Linked DNA regions of Kluyveromyces lactis. The protein of the gene in region 2 purifies or fractionates together with the protein of the main gene of each other region. This does not show direct contact. Links are inferred from orthologs where the notes say so. Each region holds a gene or a part of one and is shown on either strand. Other genes may lie near its edges.

Region 1 (4,208 bases), on a different chromosome or scaffold from region 2:
CCTTAACTCTAACACCTCTTTCCAAAGCAGCTTCCACTTTTTTCTTTTGGAAAGCGTAATCGTCTCTATGTTTATCAGGCAATTTAGGAGCTTTTTGAGTCTTGTGTTTGAATTTACCGCCAACCGTACGCTCCGATGGAGAAGTCGGATCAGCCAATAGATTCGATGGAATAGTGGATTCTCTTGCACCAACTTTGAGTGGAGCAATTTTTCTTGCCTTAGACCAATCTTGGAATTTTCCGGATCTGAAACTTGCAGGAATCTTTTGACCACTTTCTCCGATGATGTACTTTTTGTTGTCCAAACCTTGAGTGTTCACATATTTCTTACGCTTCTTGTCCCACTTAACCGTAGCTGTTTGCTTGTGAACTTGTACCTTGTCATCGTTGGCTAGATCAAATGCAGCATTGGAAGCATCATTTGTGAAACCAGATGATATCTGTAATTGTTTATCTTGAATGTCACTAGTTGGTGCGAAATGTGATAGATAAAAAGTTGGATCTCTGAAAGTTTTCTTCTGCTTCTTCTTAATATTTTCTTGCTCTTCTAACAAGACATCGGCATCTTCAAATTCTTTCAATACCTCATCAGGCACTGAGTAACCAACTTCGTTGTCTTCACCTTTCAAAATTTCATCTTCTATACTATGCCTCAAACCAATCATTCTCTCTTTTTCCAGAAGTTCTTGTCTTTCTTTTGCCTTCCTTTGAATTGGAGCTATTTGTCTCCTCCTTCTCTTCATTAACACAGACATTTCATCGTCTGGATTCCTTGCGAACTCGAATACAGTTTCCTTGTTATTTCTGTGTTGCAACTTAGCTAAGAAATCCAATTTCTCTTTTTCGGCGTTCTTACCGAAGTATATATTCTGTTCGTCCCATCCTGATCTGAGAATTTCCTTTGACCTTTTCATGGATTCAGCAGACGCTGGTGTCCTGGTTCTAAAGTAAAGTTTTTCGGCTTTCAGGGCAACACCTTTCACAGTATTTAACTCAAAGTCAGATTTGATCATATTGCTATAAAGGTCACCCATACCATCAATCTCAGAACGTGGACAAGCACCAAGGACCATTCTTGTGGTGTAAGAAACCTTAGGATCGGTGAAATTATTATTACCCTCAGATTCTGCCTTCTTTCTGAGTATCTGGCACGACGATTCATACATGGGTGTTAAAAGGATCTTCTTACCCAAGAATAATTCTAGATCCAAGAGATAAGGTAGTTCATTTTCAGAGACAATCGAAAAGGCCCAACCTCTATTACCAGCTCTGGCCGTTCTACCTACACGATGAATGAAAATTTTTGAAGAACCTGGCAAAGAGTAATTAATCACATTCGCTAACAAAGGAATGTCAACACCTCTGGCTGCCACATCTGTCACAACCAAGATAGATGTTAAACCAGCTCTAAAATTATAGAGCTGTTGCTTACGGGCATGTTGATTCAAAGCACCATAAATATATGATACTAGGTATCCACAGTTCTTCAATAACTGTGTGACGTATTCGACATGATGTCTTGTTGGAACGAAAACGATTGTTGCCTTTTCGGATGGCATTTCGTTCGCATTCGGTAAGCGCCTTTTGGATTTTTTAGCCTTCTTTGCCTTCTTTTTCTTTTCATCTTCGCTGTCATCACTGTCAGAATCCGCATCATTCTGCTGTTTGAGCTTCTTTATTTGGGACTCCGTGGCAACAGGCATCTTGATAGCTTCTTGTAACAGATATAATAGATTGGCTTCACGTTCATCCTTTTTTATAGATATAAATAACATCTCCAAATTTTCTGATATCTTCGTTTCAGCATCAAGTCTAACCAATACTGGGTTTGACAAGCCTGCCTTAGCAAAATCAACCAATGATGATGGCAATGTTGCCGAAAACAATAATGTTTGTCTATTAGTTGGGAATGCCACAAGCAGTTCATTCAGTTGTTCCTGGAAACCCATTTCGAATAATCTATCAGCTTCATCAAATACAACATATTCGACTGATTTCAAATCCAAGTTCATTTCAACTTTTAAATGCAAGAATCTACCTGGCGTAGCAATGACGACGTCAGGATTCCCCATCATCATACCGAATTGGTCTTCTAAAGAGTCACCACCTGTTAACAAAATAGAACGTAAATCCGAGCCTTTCGAAAACTCTTTGAAAACTCTATGAGTTTGAATGGCCAATTCTCTTGATGGTGATAAAATAACGGCTCTAACACCAATCTTGGCCGAATGGGTCTTTAATTTTTCTATCATAGGAAGCACAAAAGCAGCAGTCTTACCTGAACCGGTACGTGCCATACCGACAATATCACGCTTTTGTAAAATAAGGGGAATGGTTTTCCTTTGAATTGGTGTAGGTTGCCTGAAACCTTTCTTCGAGATATTAATCAATACTAGTTTTGAGAGACCGAAACTTGCAAACGAACCTTTCTTATGTTTAGCCGCAGCATCAGCGGTAGTGTTGAAATAATCGTTTAAGTCATCATCCGATTCATTCGTAGCCTTCTTTTCGTCGTCCGAAAGCTCAAGACTTGGGAACTTACTGTCCACAATGGGACCTGCCTTGACTTTGGCTTTCTTGTTTTGTTTCTTTGGTTTCTTCTCTTTCTCTTCCTCATCACTAGAAAACTCGATAACATCTTGAACTTCAGCTTGGAAACCAATATTGTCATTATCATCATCAGAAATGTCACTATCTTCACTATCAGCATTTAAAGCAATATCACCAGCAATGTCGAAAGCATCCTCATCTTCGGAGGAGTAATCTTCTGCTGGGAGAGCTCTTTTGCTAGAATCAACCATTACTGTTAAATTTGATTAACCTGAGTTCGATATCTAACAGTTGATTTATGGCAAACAATGATTGGCCTTATAATCAATACGATATAAAAGAATATTTAGCACTACTGATATTAATGAGTTACTATCTCATCTCATCTCATCTCATCGCATCTCTTATTTGGAAAGTGATGTATTTTCAAAATTTTCATAAGGAAAAAGAAATAGTTTTCAAGACCGGCATAAACAGAATTAAACATCAAACTGACGCTTTGTGTGAAACCAAGAAGATCAAGTGACCTAAAACAAAAACTTCAACATTATGTGTCACGAATATTACCAAACTCAAGTAAATAGAACGTCATACTCTAAAATTTTACTATAACTATTTCAACTTGTTTCCCTGAATTTCGCCTCTGTACATTATCTTGGTTTTTTTTTTTCTATGCAAGCCAATCAATTCAGTATCTGACAAAAAAAAGTACATGAAGATCACAACTATAACTTCTCAAGGTTTACTGAAATAAGTACCAGCTATATCTTGTTAAAGCACCATAAAAGTGTCCCGAAGGAGATGCACCACTTTATATAGCAGACGGACAGAAGTTGCGAGGAATAATGTCGAAAATCACTTCAAGATTCTTAGAATTATGCAAACAAAGACGGTTGCCTGGATATCATGTCCAATCCATGCCATCTAAATTTGATAATATTGTGGTAGGAATGTCTGGTGGAGTAGATTCTTCTGTATGTGCTGCATTATTCGCAGCTTACCCGAACGTTCATGGAGTATATATGCAAAATTGGGGCAAAGATCAATCATTGACTAGACCAGAGGAGGATCCATGTTATGAGAAAGAATGGAAGGATGCAGAAAAAGTAGCGAAACATTTGAACATCCCAGTGGAGTTTGTGAATTTTGAGAAAGATTATTGGCTAAATGTGTTCGCGCCTATGTTAGAACAATATAGTATGGGCTATACACCAAATCCTGACATCGGTTGCAATCAGTTTGTTAAATTCGGAAAGTTGATGGATCATCTGGATGTGAAGTTCGGTAAGAACAACTACTGGTTGGTGATGGGACATTATGCTCGAATACTACGAAGAGATAGTGGTCCAGAGAGATCTGAACCACACTTGATGCGCGGATTGTATCAACAGAAGGATCAAAGTTATTATTTATCACAAGTTTCTGTTCCTTCTTTAAATCAAATGATTTTACCAATTGGTCACTTGACGAAACCGGAAGTTAGAGAGATGGCCAAAGAAGTAGATTTACACACTGCCACAAAACCCGACTCTCAGGGTATATGTTTTGTGAACAACTCACAGCATGGGAAGTTTAAGAATTTCCTAAAAGAATATCTACCTATGGAACTAGGAAACATCATTACCATCGATGAGCTGACTGGTAAGAAGACGGTGTGGG
Region 2 (16,746 bases):
TGGCACTTCTTCCGGCATAATCTTAATTAGAGGTGCTTCATCGGGGTAATTTTCTGGTAGAGTAAAAATAGTATGCAAAATATGATCATTAGTTATCGAATCCACGGTGTATGAAGAATCATCCAAGGGTACGGGGTCCAATTTGATATCAATTTGTAATTCGATCTCTGGGTACTCAGAGTTCAGAACAGTAAATTCATCTGGATAGATCGACTCTAGAATCTCAAGTTCCTGCGTCTGTTCTTCTTTATAGTCCATTGTGTAGTTAACTGGAAGGGGTTAGGGCGTATAGAAACAATTAGGTAAACTCTCAAAATGTGTATTCAGTACATTTCGTAACACGCTTCCTCTGCATATAACTGGACTGGCCGTACAAATTTCAACTTGACAATGATAATGATGATGATGCTTGAAAAATCTGACAGAGTGAGAAGTGTGCTAAAACAGATACAACATTACCCGGATACAGAATGTACCCTCTTCATTTTCTATCACGTGGATTAAAAACTCAGTCATGCAAAAACCCGATTACTACCTAAAGGAAACTGGCGGAAATAAATGCTTGGCGCAGCCAAAAGAGGTGAGCCTCTCTGTCTCCTAGAAAACCCACAAGACCCCTCTAGGAACAAAAAGAAATAAAATATACCGGTTCCAGTCCTATCTCATTTTTCATACACACACCCAAAACTAGTGGAGAAACTAGAGGAAATCAGCCAGAAACCTTTGATTGTTAATCACGTGCATTACATTTTCTCCTCAAAACTTCCGTTTTCCGGGTGTCGCATTCTTCTGTGTCCGGGTAATATCCTCAACACAGCCGTTCCGGATTTCGATACGGAAAAATTCCAGTTTCGAGGTGCAGTCACTTCGCACGGTGCACCTTGAAAAATGGATTAAGACTCGTCTGGCCTGCTTTCACTGAGCAAAAAGCCTTTTAATATGGTTCAATGACCTGCATTTGTACGGGCAATTCTGAGGGTTGTCATATTTAAGAGCACCCAGATTTCCCATTCTTGTGAGTTTCTGGGTGTCAGTCAGACTTAACAACGACAGGTATCACTAAAGGTTTACAGACGTATATATATATATATATAACCTAGGTATTGTCACATCGCTTGGAGAGTTATAATTGGATTACCATTCTTGTTATCTTGGCTCCTTTGTAGTTTAAAAAGTAAGGCATTTTAGCAACACTTTTGGTGGTATTAATTGACGAAATATTGCTCGAAGACAAGAATTCTGCCATCTAAGTATATATATTATCATCAATGAATTATACCAATTACAACCATAGTGCTAGCATTTCGTCTCGTTCAACACAGACTTCGTCTGTGTTTTCGAACGAAAATGAAGATTACGATGCTAGAATTCGCGAGATCGAAGAGTACTACATCAAGACTCTGTTGAATGATGATGCGGGTGACGATGGATTGTCGAAGCAACAGCAACAACAATTGCAGCCTCAGTTCCAGTACCAGCAGTTACCAAACCTTTTCTCGCGTTCTTCTTTCGGTACTGTTCCTCAATCTCAAAACAAGGAATTAGCCCAATCTCAAGTTGCTCAGCAATATCAGCAGCAGCAGCAGCAGTGGTTCCAAAGACCTATTTTTGAGTACCAGGACCCATGGCCTCAAAAGGTCCATCCTAAGGAACCTTCGTTGGAAGTCGAAATTAACTCTCAATACCGTCCAGCCAACGGTATTATGCCATTGACCAGCGAGAACTTACGCATAATCCAAGAAACTCCAGCTGAACCAGTGGTCCATGCTCAAGCGCAGGCTCCAACTGAACATGTTCACACTGAAAATTGTGGTCATAATCACCCTCAGGTCTCTCAGCAACAACAGCAACAACAGCAGCAGCAGCAGCCAGAAAGGGTTAACAAGCAATTGTACAAGACTGAGCTTTGTGAATCGTTCGCTACCAAGGGAACCTGTAAGTACGGCAACAAGTGTCAATTTGCTCATGGTTTGCACGAGTTGAAAATAAAGGAGCGTTCAAACAACTTTAGGACAAAGCCATGTGTTAACTGGCAAAAATACGGCTACTGTCGTTACGGTAAGCGTTGTTGCTTCAAACACGGTGACGATGAGGATATTCAAGTCTACATGAAAGTTAATATGATTAAGAAAATTGAAGATGAACCTATCAGAAAGAACTTACATGCTGATGTTAAGGCATTGCAAAAGATGACTTGGTGATTTCTCTTTTATCAGTCTTTGCTTCACTTTTTGTTGCTTGATGCAACAAAGAATCATGTAACTGGCATTTCAACTTTATCCTCTCGCAAACGTTAAACTAACCGGCGGTCGCCCCGTATTTTTATCTCACTTTGAATACTGGTTATTTAATTTGATTATTATTTATTTATTATTTTAACTATTTTCCTCATACGTTAGCACGTCTTCCCTTCTTCAATGCGTACACAAGTAATGTCTTAATTTCAGCGCTTCACTGCAGTTTTAATTATTAAGAGCAATAGTGCCTATGCACCAGCATAGGTCTTGTAAGCGTATTTTCATGTGATTCAGAAACAGTATCTACTTATTTCTTGAGGTCGAATTCATGAGCTAACCTCTTGATCGTGTGCAGGAATATTTTGTTCCAATGAATGAAATCCTTGACATCTTTGTCGTCTAAGGCTTCCTTCAAACCTGGTAAGGCAAACCCTTCATAACCAGTATTCTTACCAGATGCAAAGACCACGTGTTTGAACCATGGTCTGCCTTTCAAACCTTCTTCGTGTAGGAAGTTTCTCTCAAGGTAGAACAATTTGAAATTCACGTGTACAATCTGGAAATGCAACTTTATGCGCCTCCACCATGGTAGAGAGTTCTTATCTTCCCATTGTTTGTTTAGATCAGTTAAGTACTCATCAAAATAGTCGGCAGATGATACAAGTTTGTCCAATTTCTTGCTTGTTTTATGGATCAGCTTACTCAATGGGGTACCTCTGTGGTTAGTAATATTTAACCACTGTTCTGGAACGCTTTCTTGGATGTGTTTGTAGTATTTAGTTAACTCAGTTGAGTAGTCCGAGACCTTGGAATTTATTATCTTATCTTCGGATAATCTCAAGGCAATGGTACCAAATAGTTTGGCGACAGCATTGTGTAGCTTGAATCCTGGATCTTGCATGGTAGCCATCCAATGGAACGAATCATAATTCGAATGATAGTGATAGACAGGATCTTTTGCGGTAGCGCTAAATCCAAGATCTAAAGAGGCGATACCCAAATGTTCCAAGAAAACAGTGTAATCGGATCCAGAACCTAAGATGCCAATGTTAGTGTGGTTAAAAAAATGATCATGAAGTGTGACATTTTCTTCTAATGGATATTCAATTAGTGGCAAAGCTTCCTTGATAGCCTTATTTAAGAATGGCGATGAAGCTATCTTTAGTTGTCTACCACCCACGGCCACGTCTACATTCAAATAAGCAAGTAAGTTCTTCTTCAATTCATTGGCATTTTTTTCCCCAAATTCAGTGGACCCAAGCAAAGCGTACTCTTCACCATCCCATGAGGCAAACTTAATAGTCCTTCTTGGTTTCCAGCCATTCTTTGTCAATTCATGAAGAGACCTGGCCATTTCAAGCATAGCAGCAGTACCACTGTTGGGGTCAGAAGCACCACCTTTAATCCATGCATCTCTATGGTTACCAACAAGAATATATCCACTTTTCGAATCATAACCTTCTAATATACCATAGACATTGTGAATCGGAACGATATCATACTTTTGTTCATTGTACAAATTTAAGGAGTATTTTGAGTTCGGACCAGTCCAGTATTCGAAGCCAGGAAGGTTCCCAACCCAGTGGTCACCGCCAATTGAAGAACCTTTCACACCATGACCGTTTAATTTCTCTAATATAGGCTTAACTTCTTTGAAAGAGATGGGCAATGAGGGGATCTTTGGTATCGATTTGTAAGGATCATCACGGACAACATCATCACCCTGAGATGGTCTACCTGGAGTAGTTGGATCACCTGGGAACTGAGACAGGAATTGTACAGATCCACGCTGTAATGAAGATGGGTTTCTAGCTGGTCCCTTTGGATATGGTTTATCACCTTTAGCCTCTTGGAAGAAGTCATCACCAGGGTCGGAATAAATCAAGACACCAACACACCCAGCGTCTTGGGCGAACTTGACCTTTAGACCACGGAAAATTCTGCCATACCTTACGATTGCGATCTTGCCCTTTAATGGAACACCATGCTCTTCCAACAATTCAAAATCTTCCTTGGAGCCGTAATTGACATAAACGAATTCAGCAGTCACATTACCAGATGCAGAGTACCCATGGAAAGCTGGAACCAAATCATCACCCCCAGTAGTTGAATCTTCTGGTAAATGGTCTTCTGTCAAATTAGCCTTGAAAACTGGTTCATCCTCTTGCAATAAAGTTAAACCATTATCCACTGGATAGTTCATGTAAATATCAAAAGCTTCCACTTCTGTCTTTAATCCATACTCTTCGAACTTGGATGCAGTCCAATTCACTAACTCGATACCTTTACCAGCTAAGTGAGGAACTGAAGTCAATTTCTCTGACCAGTTTCCCGCAAGATTGCTGTCGTCTAATGTCTTCAAATAAGCAAGCTCAGTGGCCGTTGCCTGAGACCTATCCCTATGAGAAGATGAAGAAAAGCTATAGCTTAAAATATTAACCAAAAGGTAGCAGAAAAGACCCACTTGGAATGATAATGAAAGAGCTTTCTTAATCCATGTTCTTTTTGAAGGGACAGACTTTTGAGCTTCAATATCGTTCAAATCATGCTTGATGTCCGCAGGATACTCCTCGGGACTCTTGGCCGTCATTTTTTGAAGGTCTAAGTGGTGATGCGATTCCTTAGGTGCTGGCTCTGGCAATAGTTTCCAAATTACCTTCTTCTTCTTATATGTAAGCCGTAACCATTCAACATGGTTGCTGAGTAACGCCGTTTGTTTTTTAGGGTTTTGCTATAATTTCGGGATTTGGCTGCAAAGACAAGCAATATCAAGAAGCAAAAGGGCAATGTAAATACTTAGGGTGGATTAGATAAGGTATTCTGTCGTACTTTGGCATATCATTGGTATTGAAGTTTGTTGAGACCATTTTTTTCCATGTTTCTACTTCTCGTTGAGGACATACCTTATTAGGATAGTATCACCGAGATTTTCTTGTTTGCAGATCAGTTCAATGATCGATAATAGAATGAAAGGAATTAAATTGTCTTCTTTAGCCAATCGATAATCCTAGGCTGCTCAAACTACACTATCTTATATACCTAATATAGGAATCGAAATTGAAACGTATCTGTTAGCAGTGTATCAATTTGCACGCAAAGACCATTTCGAAGTTGATCTTTTCACGTAAGACGAAGAACTAGCCCTTCTTGTTGAAGATAACCTTCTGGTTGCAGTTTGAGAACTTTCTCCTGGCAACTGGTAGATAGTATTTGAATCAACATTGTTGTCGTCTCTAAGCATGTCATCTAAGTTAATCCCGTCAAGATTTCTTTGAAGTAGGTAACGTAGAGAATTGAACCAAATATTATGTCTTTGTCTGGTAGCACATGTCAACTTAATATCACGGCCTTCTGTTTTCACGATGATACTTTTTTGGTACAAACCAGCGGGGAAAGGACATGGATCGTCGACGCTCTCTACACCCATAATAGCTGCCGCTCTGGTTTTGTTGTTCCCTGGGTTCTCAAGCACAGGATTGGACGTAGACCAATACAAGGTTAAAGTGTAAGGATGAACCCAGAAGTATCTTTCATGACGTGAAGATTGGAACAGAGATCCACCTAAACGACGATAGTACTTGTGCAAGTATTCACCAATCATAGTTTGGGTCAATGCTGGGATGATACTTGGAGCGCTGAGGGACGCCATTGTAGCTAAAGATAAACCAGTAGCCATAGACTCGCTGTGTGTAAGCAGTGATGCTTGATTAGTTTGAAGTGAAGGCGACGGACGTTTGATTGAAGAAGATCTTGATGGGGCTCTGGATCTGGTCTGTTGCTCCATTTCGCTCATTGCAGCATTAGCAGCAGCTTCTGACATGGATCTTCTAGCATCCTCTGAAATGACAGACCGAGTCGCCAATGAAGAATTTCTTCTATGCCCCTGAGTAAAGCCATCGCCAAAGTCCTTTCTCAAATTAACGACAACTTGGAAACCACGCTTCTTGGCTTCCGCTTGCAAATTCTCATCAGTAATCTTCGCCCAATTTTCAGACTCTTGATGTAATAGAGAATTATAATATTTGATCGGCAACACAACAACATTATGGACATCTGGAGTATTTGCATTGGATGTGGCGACAAATGCGCTTTCTGGAATACATAGTAAGCCAAATCTCTTAGCAGCTTTGTTTAATTGTTTTATCTCAGAGTCAACGACCTCTGCGTCTTCTTCTTCCTCTTCATCTTCTTCAGAATCAGTGTCATTGTCGTTATCCATCAAATACGAACCCTTCTTCAAACGTTTGTACTCCGTTAAATCTAAAGCTATCAAATTGAAATCAGCGGCATGCTCAACTATTTGTTCCCTGGTCAAGGTTGGCGTCTCCAATTCTTTCTTAATCTGTTCAAACTGCTCAATAGGAATGGGAACAAGACCAAGATCTCGTGCGCGTATCATGAGATCGTCTTTAGAAATACCAATCGCGGTATTTGGATCATACTGGGACACTGGGATAGGCACAAATCCTAATTCTTTAGCTTTCAAAACAACGTCGTCCTCCGTCATACTGTTTCTGCCGGAGGAAGCTAATTCGCGTTGTATTTCTTCAAATTTGTCAGCATCAATCGGTATAATGTTGAGCTCATGGGCTCTTTCTATCAACTCATCCCTAGTCATTGCAACAGAAGCCGCTTGATCCTCGACTTCCAACAGATGGTCATATTCGTCTTTCGAGACAATAACTTTCCCATGTTCTTTCGCCCATTCACTGACAGAGTCATCGTTGAACTTGTTCAAAAGGTCTTCATATATGTCTTTTTCTATAGGAACTAAACCCCAATCTTCACATTTCTGTTTTATGTCTGTAACTGTCAACGGTTTTTTGAGGGCACTGTATTCTAAAACTGGTAGCGTGACGAGTTCTAGTTCTTTGGCCCTTGCTTCCAGTAGCTCGCGAGTCAAAGGCTTTTTAATTTCCTTGTAGTCTTCTTCGGCTAATGTGACAATACCCAGCTTTGACGCTTTTTCCTTGATATCATCAGCACTATCAGGTTTGATAAGCTTCAGGTAGTCATTTGTTGCTACTGGTACGAGGCCATGTTCTCTAGCTTTCTGTTTAATTGTTTCTGTTGAGATTATTGGAGCTGGCGCGATCAATTGAGTAGATTTTTTAACAAGTTGAGAATGTTCAGCTTCAGTTAAAACTATTAAGCCATACTTCTTCGCACTCTCACGAATAGAATCTGGTGTTAACCTCTCTGAAGTGATAAGTTTCTCCATCTCTATAAATTCCTCAGTTGGCACCACAGATAATCCGAATTGCGGTGCAGCAGAGTAAATGATATCCTTTGTCAAATCTTCAGGTGTCAATGATGTAGAGTAATGATTTTGATGACAATCGATATCCTTTTCAATAAGGTTGTAACCTAAAACTTCTGCATGTCTTTGCAAGTCCTCCAATGTCGGTTCATTATCTTTTATCGTTGATGCCAGTGAAACATTATCATTATCAGAACCAAGGAAATCATTGGCATCGGTATAATGAGTGGAAGATGTATGCATGCTTGACTTCGAAGGGCTGTTTCTGAGGTTGAAGGAGCTGCTACTTTGTAGCGCATCATAATAATCAGTGTCACCTGTGCTTACAGAATTGAAACTAACAGTGGAATGGTTCACAGAGGGATGGAGATTTAATGCAGGCCTAGAGCCATAATCGCCGACACGTTGATTATTATGTTTCTCGAGTTCTTCATCTGTGAAATTAACAGGGACCAACTTCAAAGCAAAACGTGAAGCATACAACTGTAAATCGTCATATGTAATATTATCACTATGCGCCTTTCTTTGTAATAAGTTATTATATTCTTCGGAGGGAAGAACAGTGAGATCAAAGGCTTTTGCCCCATTATAAATATCCGTCTTTGTTAATTCGTGCTTTTGTTGATTCTCGAGAAGCCTTTTGTACTCATCGTTTGAAAGTCTTACAAATCCTAATAACTTTCCTGATTCTAATACCACCTCTTTATTTGAATTCTCTTTCTTGATAACATTTTCGAAATATAGCTTGCTTGCTGCGACTTTCGATCTTGGTGACATTGAAGAAACTTCAACCTCTTTTTTCAGTTTTTCAATAAGAGCATCGTATGATTCTTCACTAAGAACAACAAGACCCAATTTCGCTGCAAGTTTTTCAATATCAATTTTGGTGAGAGAAGAGAGTTTTTTGGCCTCGTTTTGTAAATTCTCATATTCCTTGTCACCCAGGAGCTTGTACCCGTATTTTGGCGCGGTCGCTACAACTGATTCTTCAGATGGATTATCAACTTGGGTCTTCAAGAAAGCCAATTCCTCACGGTCAATAACAGTTAGCGCTAATGGTTCGACTAGCTGTTTTACTTTCTCTATCGAAGGAACTGTTAACTCCTTATAGTGTTTTTCAGGTAGAGGAATCAAATCGAACTTTGAACACAGACCTATCACCTCCTGTTTGGAAATTGAATCAACATTTGAGGAATTGAGACTTTTGTAGGTCTCAGCATCAAGTACCACATGACCTTTTTCTGTTATTTGCTTTTGTAGGATGTGCAGGGAAGGATTGGACAAAGAATCATAATCAGCTTCCGGAACAACTACAAGTCCGAGACTTCTCGCACTTCTCTGTAAACCCTGCTCGTCAGTAACTGCTGACATTTGTAACTTATTATGTTCTTCAATCGGTAGTAAAACTTGTTTGTGTTGCTGCGCTTTTTCTTGCAAGAATTCTAAAGATGGACTAGTCAAGTTAAGTTGAAGTTCATTGAACTTTTTCGTGGGAACTACGCTATACCCATTGATGTCGCAAACCTCCTTTGATCTTTTGATTGAAGGGTTATTGATTGCGAGCTGTAGCTCTTCGTACTCGACAGTTGGTAGAACCTTGCATTCAATTCTAGCAGCCAGTTGTTCCACTTCTTTCACCGTAGGTTCGTTTGTTTTTCTTTGCAAATTGTCATATTTCTGTTGATCGATCAAACGTTTGCCAATATTGCTTGCCCTATTTGATAAGTGTGCAATAGAAGGATTTTCATATGAGGTCTTGAGCTCTTCAATAGATTCAATTGGTAACAGGGCGAGTCCAAGAGTTCCAGCCATGTTTTCTAAATATTCTCTAGATGGGTGCTCTAATTTCGATTTCAAGCCCTCCAGTTCATCGAATGGTAACATAGTTTGATGATGAAGTTTAGCCTTCTCCTTCAAAAACGTCAATGAGGGAGAGTCTTTCATAGCCATTAGATTTTCATATTCGTTCAGCTGTACGGGAACCATTTTATAGGTTGAGAGGTGTCTGGATAAATCTTTTAGTTGTGGATTGTTTGATTTGTTTATCAAATCTTCGTAAGACTTACTATCTAAGACCACATGACCATGTTCCTTGACTTTCTTAATCAATTCATCCTCTGAAAGTAGTGCAACTTTCGAGCTTTCCTGTAATTTCTGGTATGCTTCAGCAGCAACAGGCTTTAGATTGTATTTGTCACAGAGTTTAAAAGTTTCATCTTTAGTTACTTTATCTATAACGGGAGCCATTAATTTTGAGTATCCTTCTTTTGAAACTGCAACGTAACCCAATGTTTCCAATCTGTTAGTTAATTGGTCGATGTCAACATTGTCGATTGACTTTTGTTTAAAGGAATTGAAATCTGGCGCAGTGACTGGAACAAATCCAAAATTCTTAATAGATTCGAGTAACATTGTTTTATCACTGCCCTTATGAACTAACTTTTCATACTCTTTCTGTTCGATAGTAACCATACCGATATCCTTTGCCTTTTCAATGATGAAGTTTCTTGATGGTTCATTTACGGTCTTATTCAAATAATCGTAGTCACTCTGCGATACAATCAAGTGGCCAGTTACAGCTGCCAAGTGCTGCATTTCTTGGATGGTCGGGTCTGATGACTTTCTCAAAAGCTCTGAGTGGTCAGTCTTTAGGATTATATCATAGTTTTTCTCTGCTGCCTTTTCCGATAAAAAGTTCAAAGTTGGAGATTCTAGCTGTTCCTTCAACTTATGAAGGTCCTCCTGTTTGATAATAGTATAATTGAGAGCTAGTAGTTTATCTTTCAGGTGTTCAAAGGGAGGATTTTGAGCTAAGTTTCTTAGGTTCTCTATTTCAGCTTGACTGAGCAAGGTGTAATCTAAAGCTTTGGCAGCTTTCTTTAGATGATCCAGTGGAGGAGTATTAGCTAGTTCTGTTAATTTGTGATACTCAGTGGTGCGTATAGGTGTTATGGACTTTCTTTCCGCCAACCACAGCAATAAAGACTCCATATCGTCACTAGAAAGCGATGATTGAATAGCTTCAATTGAAGGATGAGTGTTTCCATGCATTAGTCTGGTGTGCTCCTCATTTGGAAGAAGAACATGATCTTTTGACTTAGCACATTCTTTCAACCTATTAATATCTGGACTTTCAGCTTTGCATTTCAGATCAATTAGATCCTTATCAGGTATTACCGAGAGTTTGTGATTTGCAGCAATTTTTTCCACTTTATCGATAGAAGGATTCAGTAGCTCATGGTAATCTTTGTTAGATATTAAAATATGGTCGTGAGTGGTAGCTAACTGTTGGACGTCTTCGATACTTGGTTCAGTGAGTTGGGACAATTTACTCTTCGTTAGTACAGTTAATCCTTTTGCATCTGCTTTGGCCTGCAAATATTCTTCAGACGGGCTTTCCAATTTAGCTTTTATATCAGTCAATTGTGACTGTTTCAATACCTGAAGTCCTCTGGACTGGGCATGGTTTGTTAATGCCTCAACATCCGGTTTCCTCAAATTTTCATACTCATCAATGTCGATAATGGTTTTTTGAAGCTTGTGAGCCTTACTCTCGAGATATGACAGGGACGGACTTTCGGAAGCATGAAGCAAATTCTCATAGTCCTTTTTACTTAACGCAGTGTAGTCTTTACTTTCTAATGATTTTTTCAAAGTTTCCATCGATGGATCATTCAATGATTGGTACTCTTCTTCTTTGATAGCAGTGAGGTTGAGCCTCTTCAGATTCGAAACTAGATAATCCTCAGTGGGATGCTTAAAAATCTCTTCTATATCCACTTTCTCATTATTTGTTAAACTAGAAGTATCAAAATACCCTAGCGTAGAAAGTCTGGAAAGAATATGCTTTGATAATGTGTCATCTGAGATTGTGCTAGGAGTTTTCGATTTTTTTAATTCATCTAGTTCAGTAATTGGGACAAGTGCGAAATTGTGCGTTTTTGCGTATCTTTCTATATCTTCATAGTCAAGTTCATTAATAAAGTCTTCATCATGTTCAAAGGGGCCCTCCGAAATGGGGTCTCTCACATAGTCCATAGTTTCCGAAACAAAACTTTCAGCGTCAATATCACTGATATCAGCATTACTTGACTTGCCAGGCGATGGTATTACATTCCAGTCACCTGATTCATTATCTGTAACTTCGTAATTGAAGCTGGAAGTATTGGACTTTTGAGGAGTAGAAGCAGATCCTATAAAAGATAAACCGCCTTTATTCTTACCTCTGGGAGACTTTGAAGGTAATGGAGAGTTCATGGTGCTGTCAGCCTTGACTCTGTTGAGCTTCTGCTTTAATCTTACAATTAACTGATTAGCATGATTTAAGTTGGCTTTTAAGGTCTGATTTTCTAGATTTGAATCAATCGGTTTCTTCAAGGAACTATCATCGGAACCCTCCATACCTCCTCCGATCAGTTTTACGGCAGGTGATGGTTTTTGTTCTGATGTAGCAATCGCAGTATCGTCTTTGCCCTGTGCAGAGGTGCCTTTCCTCTCTTCTATTTCTTTTGTTAATGAAGTGACCTTCTCACTCAACATGTTAACTTTATTATGCAGCTGATCATTCTCATTGTTCAACTCTTCCACATGTCTTTTCAGCTCCTTAATTTCATTCGAATGAACTTTTTTACTAGAAGCCAATTCGGACTTTAATCCCATACGTTCCAAAGAACTTTCCTCCAGTTCAGTTTTCATATCCTTAGAAAGCTCAATCTGCCTTTCAAGTTCACTTTTATTTTTATTGAAGTTTTCAGTCAACTCTTGGAACTCCTTAGATAAACTTTGCAATTTCATTTCTTGTCGCCAATTAGTGTCCTTTAAAGAATCCTCATTTTTGGTCATAGATTCATGCTTCACTGTTAACCGCTCAAGATTTATTTTCAACTTTTCATAGTCGGCCTGCAAAGAGGATAATTTGGCGGACTTACGTTCGTTCTGTGCTTGTAAGCGTCTGCATTCGACGAGTAAGTTCTCGCTTAAACCAACAACAAAGTTCACATCCTCGCCTGAATTGGCATTTATGACACCTGCATGAGCAGAGCTTCCTGCAAAAACAGGTAACGAAGCCCTATTATCTCTCTTACTCAAGACATTGGAAAATGGTAAACTGGGGTCCTCAGAATTAACATGAGAAAGAGCTTCTTGATGTTTTTGTTGTTCCTGCAACCTGTTCAATTTAAACTTCAATTCATCTCGGCTGGACCGTTTATCAGACTGCGAAGATCCCTTTCCTGACATATTTCCTGGGATTTTACTGTCGCTTCTGGGGCGCACTTCTCCAAATTGCCCGAAATCACTCAATTGTTGCCGTTCTGAATAAAAACCGAAGGACAGTGCTAAAGTTTAAGGACTTCAGTGCTATATGCTTCAAAGATTACTGAGCGTAGATTCCAATTTCCTTTTCGATTATGTTTTGTTTGTTTTGTTTATAGAATCGTTCGATCTGAAAGAAACTGACAATTTTTGATGAGCTGTTTTGACTGCATAACGTTACCCGGATTTCTCAATAAACAATGCAGCTATTGACTCGCCTTGTCTTGCTTTGATAGAGCCTTGCTCACATTCGGTATATGTTTTGAATAGGCAGTCAGACCAATGTATTCATTGAGAGTCTATTATGTTCCTTTGACGCCATGTATTTGGGCTTCTATTGAAAAAAAAATGCTGATAATTATACACATGGATGCTAACATACTATGGAGACAATGATGGCGACTGCAGTTGGGATAATGATTGTGAGAGCAACCGTGATTGAGATTGAGATTGGCTTTGTGACAACAAGGGGTTCTCAGTATCATTTCTGAATACAATCCCGTTTAAATCTGCCCAATTTTTGATAAAACTATCGTCGATTAGTTCAGTGAATGAGTTCAAGGATACTAGCCATTCTTTCAACTGTTCGTAACGAATAGGCTCAAAAGTGTATATTTGTTCCATTAATAATGCAGATTCATCACGATTTTGTACTATAAGGTCCGTGAGGAATTGCTTGAGTTGAATTGATCTATCCTCATCTGAGGACCCCGGGAATTTGGATTCCAATGTCTCCCATACTTGCAACATCTGAACTTTGTTCTTACAAGGTTTTAATCCGATCACCTTGAAAGACCTTCGTAGCTTCGCGGTGTTCGGAGATGCATTTTGTGTTGTGAGTAGGGCAGGCTGAAGTTGTGAATCTAGAGAATCTGTGGCTGAAACTGGGGTTTTCAATTTTTGAGATTGAGATTTCCGTAGAGAGGGGAACTGGCCAAGATGAGTTTGAGGAGCATCATGAACCTCCATAATGGAATAGCTACCTCTTTCATCTTCGCTATCTATAACAATTTCGTTATTATCATCATGCAACATAGAAGTAGTTAAAGTAGACAAACTTTCTTGCTCTTGCGTATCTACCTCCCCCTTAACACTGGCGAAAACGTCATTAGAGTCCCTATTGCTATCAACATATATCTTGACGACATTAGCAGGTTTTGAAGCTTGTTGCTGATTCTGTTGTTGTTGGTCTTGAAAGGTAGTAGTTCTCGTTGCGGGCACCTGAATAGTCCCGGTTCTTTGGGCCTTCATTGGAGATACGATGGAGGACACTACATCGTAAGACGTTTGTGATATGTTTATCAGTTGATCGTTTATGTTTGCCCTGGAATATTCCCTTTTCGTTTTCTCACCAGTGGGTAAAGTCTTGGAATCTGGTGGTAAATAGCATGGTATATCGTAATCGACGTCTGCCTTGTTCTTGTCTTGAATCATGAAACTCAGCTCTTCAAAGCTAATGATAGACCCGCTATCGCATGAATCGGCTATCTGAGACGGTACATCCGTCTCAGATGAAGGCACGTCTATGCTAATTGGTAGTTCCTGTTCGATGACAGAGCTTGGGTTCGAGATCGGTTTGAACCTCAATCCATCTTCCGTTGAGCACCGGTTATTACTGCTTTCTCCTTCGACAAGTTGAGACAACGTATACACAGGCGCATTGTTATCCAACGTTAAACTTGGAAGAATAGTCTCAGACTCTCCATCTGAGCACTGAGAAGATATCTGCTTTTCTGGGGATAACTGAGACGCTTTCCAAAGATTGTGCTGTTCATCAGCACCGTATACGTATTGCTGTACCGAGTTTAGCTCGCTTCTAGAAACTTTTGGTAATTTTTCTCGTAGGAGGCCAACGATATGTTGCCATTCTGATTCATTAAAGGGCGCAAATTGTGTCGGATGAGAATCCTGTAAACTTTCCGCATCTGCAGATGCCTCCGAGTCCAATTTCGACACCAATTTTTTAACCTTGGCAGATTTACCCGAAAGAATCGAAATCATCTTCTGAGCCCTATCCTTCACTCTATTTGATTCCCAATTATCTGTATTGAACTGGGTAATACTCTTGATTCTTTTCTGCAATCGTGCTGTCGGCTGCTTGACCTTTGAGGATTTTATCACTTTCTTGACTGGCACTTTTTTGGAAGACACCAGTGGAATATCCGCTTGATCTTGTGTTTCCAGCGCAAATCTTGACAGAACATTGCGGAAGGTGTGCACCACAGTCTCCTGGTGGTTCAGTTCATCTATGGCACCTTGGACTTGAGTAGAGATCAGAATATCATCATCACCTTCCTCCGGTGGAATCTCAGTCTCCTGCTCCTCATCTTGATCCTCATCATCGCTGAACATAGTAGGAACCTGAGTCATGCAAATATCACCCTGTTCCACTGAATCTTCAGACAAATGATCGTTCACCATCAGCAAATGCCTACCAGCTTTTTCCAACTCATCATGCATCAGGAAAGAGAGGTTTGCTATTGAATTCTCTGTCTATATCTTACAAGTATACCAGTCACCTGGTATATCAGCAGTCCTTTCCAATTGACGCACCGCAAGGCCACTCATAAACATACGTTGGTACAGTAACACACTAACACGTACTATATATATAGAGAGAGAGAGAAATAGAGAGAAATAGAGTTTGGGATACATAATGATAAATGCCAGCATGATTCCAAATCAAGAATAGTAAATACAATTATAGAGATGAACCTCAAATTGCATAGAAGCAGTGAGAAATCGAGAAAACGCGATATTTTTTCATGCATTGCACGAAATAAAACAGGGTTAGTCGGGGTAATACGAATGTAATACGAACGTACTCTACACGTGACTTGTTATTACTTATTCCTTATTCCCGGAACTCTTCTTACTTTTTATGGCCTCAGTTCGACTCCCGGAGCGACCCCTTCGGTGCAATTAAATCCAATCCTCCCGTCCTTCATCACTCACTCTTAACGATCCGGACCGGATTATTTAGTCTTTCTTTGTGCTCTCTGCTCTTCTGTTCTGGTCGGCGCCGAGTCTCCGTCATATCACTTCATACGAGCTGGTATTCCGGTAATTGGCTCCGCCAAAGGGCCCTATTTTCCAAGTTTTTTGAGTAAGCACATTTTAATTACCTACTGTATGCACTTTCGCCATTATTATATATATATTATATATATAATAATGATAATAAAGTTCAATTCTTTGAAAGGTTGCCTTTAAACATTGAATGTTTAACCCCAGGATTTATAAAACGGTCCGTTTTTGAGCTAATTTTGACTACAGTTTGAATTAAATAGAAAGACAGATACTTTTTTCTGATTCCTGTTGAGAAAATAAGGAACCTTTTTGAATTCGTACCAAATTTTTCCTTCTTTCTTTCTTTTGAATCATAATCATCATAAATTATCACATTTGATAATTTTGTTTCTAAACCAAATATAGAGCAAAGGTATTCAAGTCAGTTGAATCCATTTACTCTTCAGAAATAACATTCGGAAATATACTCAGGTCTCGGAGTGTATCTACAAACACAGATTATAATATAATATATTATCCTTTTTCACTTTTGGTTTTGTCCCATTCCAACAATGTTAAGGAGTTCTACTAGAGTTGCAGTTAAATCTGCTTTGCACAAGCCTTTGGTTCGTTGTGCTACTGTTTCACAATTAGAAGCGGTTAGAAGTTTTAGTTCAAGCCGAATTTCTTCCGATATCTCTTCAAGAAATGGATCTTTTAACGCCGTGAGTCGTCGTTCTTCTGGTCCATTCCAATTCCGTTGTTCCCCTTCTCAGTTGAACACTAGATTCATGGCAGTTCGTCATGCTACTTCTGTGCCGGTTCCTCCTATGGCTGAATCGTTGACTGAAGGTTCTTTGAAGGAATACACTAAGAAAGTCGGAGATTTCATCGAAAAGGACGAACTGTTGGCTACTATCGAAACCG

What was found.
Region 1: the proteins of NUM1 (region 2) and DBP10 purify together in Saccharomyces cerevisiae (affinity purification with mass spectrometry; 3 studies listed by BioGRID, with this or other methods). This does not show direct contact. The link is inferred for Kluyveromyces lactis from reciprocal best matches to the Saccharomyces cerevisiae genes NUM1 and DBP10.

What each region holds. Positions count from the first base shown.
Region 1 is NC_006042.1:2,294,830-2,299,037, forward strand, and holds the start of DBP10 (ATP-dependent RNA helicase DBP10), read right to left. Parts: upstream 2,801-4,208; coding exon 1-2,800. Other genes in the region: SLM3 (tRNA-5-taurinomethyluridine 2-sulfurtransferase), read left to right, coding at 3,395-4,208. UniProt on the Saccharomyces cerevisiae protein: ATP-binding RNA helicase involved in the biogenesis of 60S ribosomal subunits and is required for the normal formation of 25S and 5.8S rRNAs.
Region 2 is NC_006040.1:1,395,902-1,412,647, reverse strand, and holds NUM1 (Num1p), read right to left. Parts: upstream 12,736-16,746; coding exon 5,320-12,735; downstream 1-5,319. Other genes in the region: GIR2 (Gir2p), read right to left, coding at 1-258; putative mRNA-binding protein CTH1, read left to right, coding at 1,269-2,201; KLLA0_D16588g (M28 family metallopeptidase), read right to left, coding at 2,545-4,827; SLX4 (Slx4p), read right to left, coding at 13,192-15,270; KGD2 (dihydrolipoyl transsuccinylase), read left to right, coding at 16,392-16,746. UniProt on the Saccharomyces cerevisiae protein: Controls nuclear migration. NUM1 specifically controls the interaction of the bud neck cytoskeleton with the pre-divisional G2 nucleus. Functions in dynein-anchoring.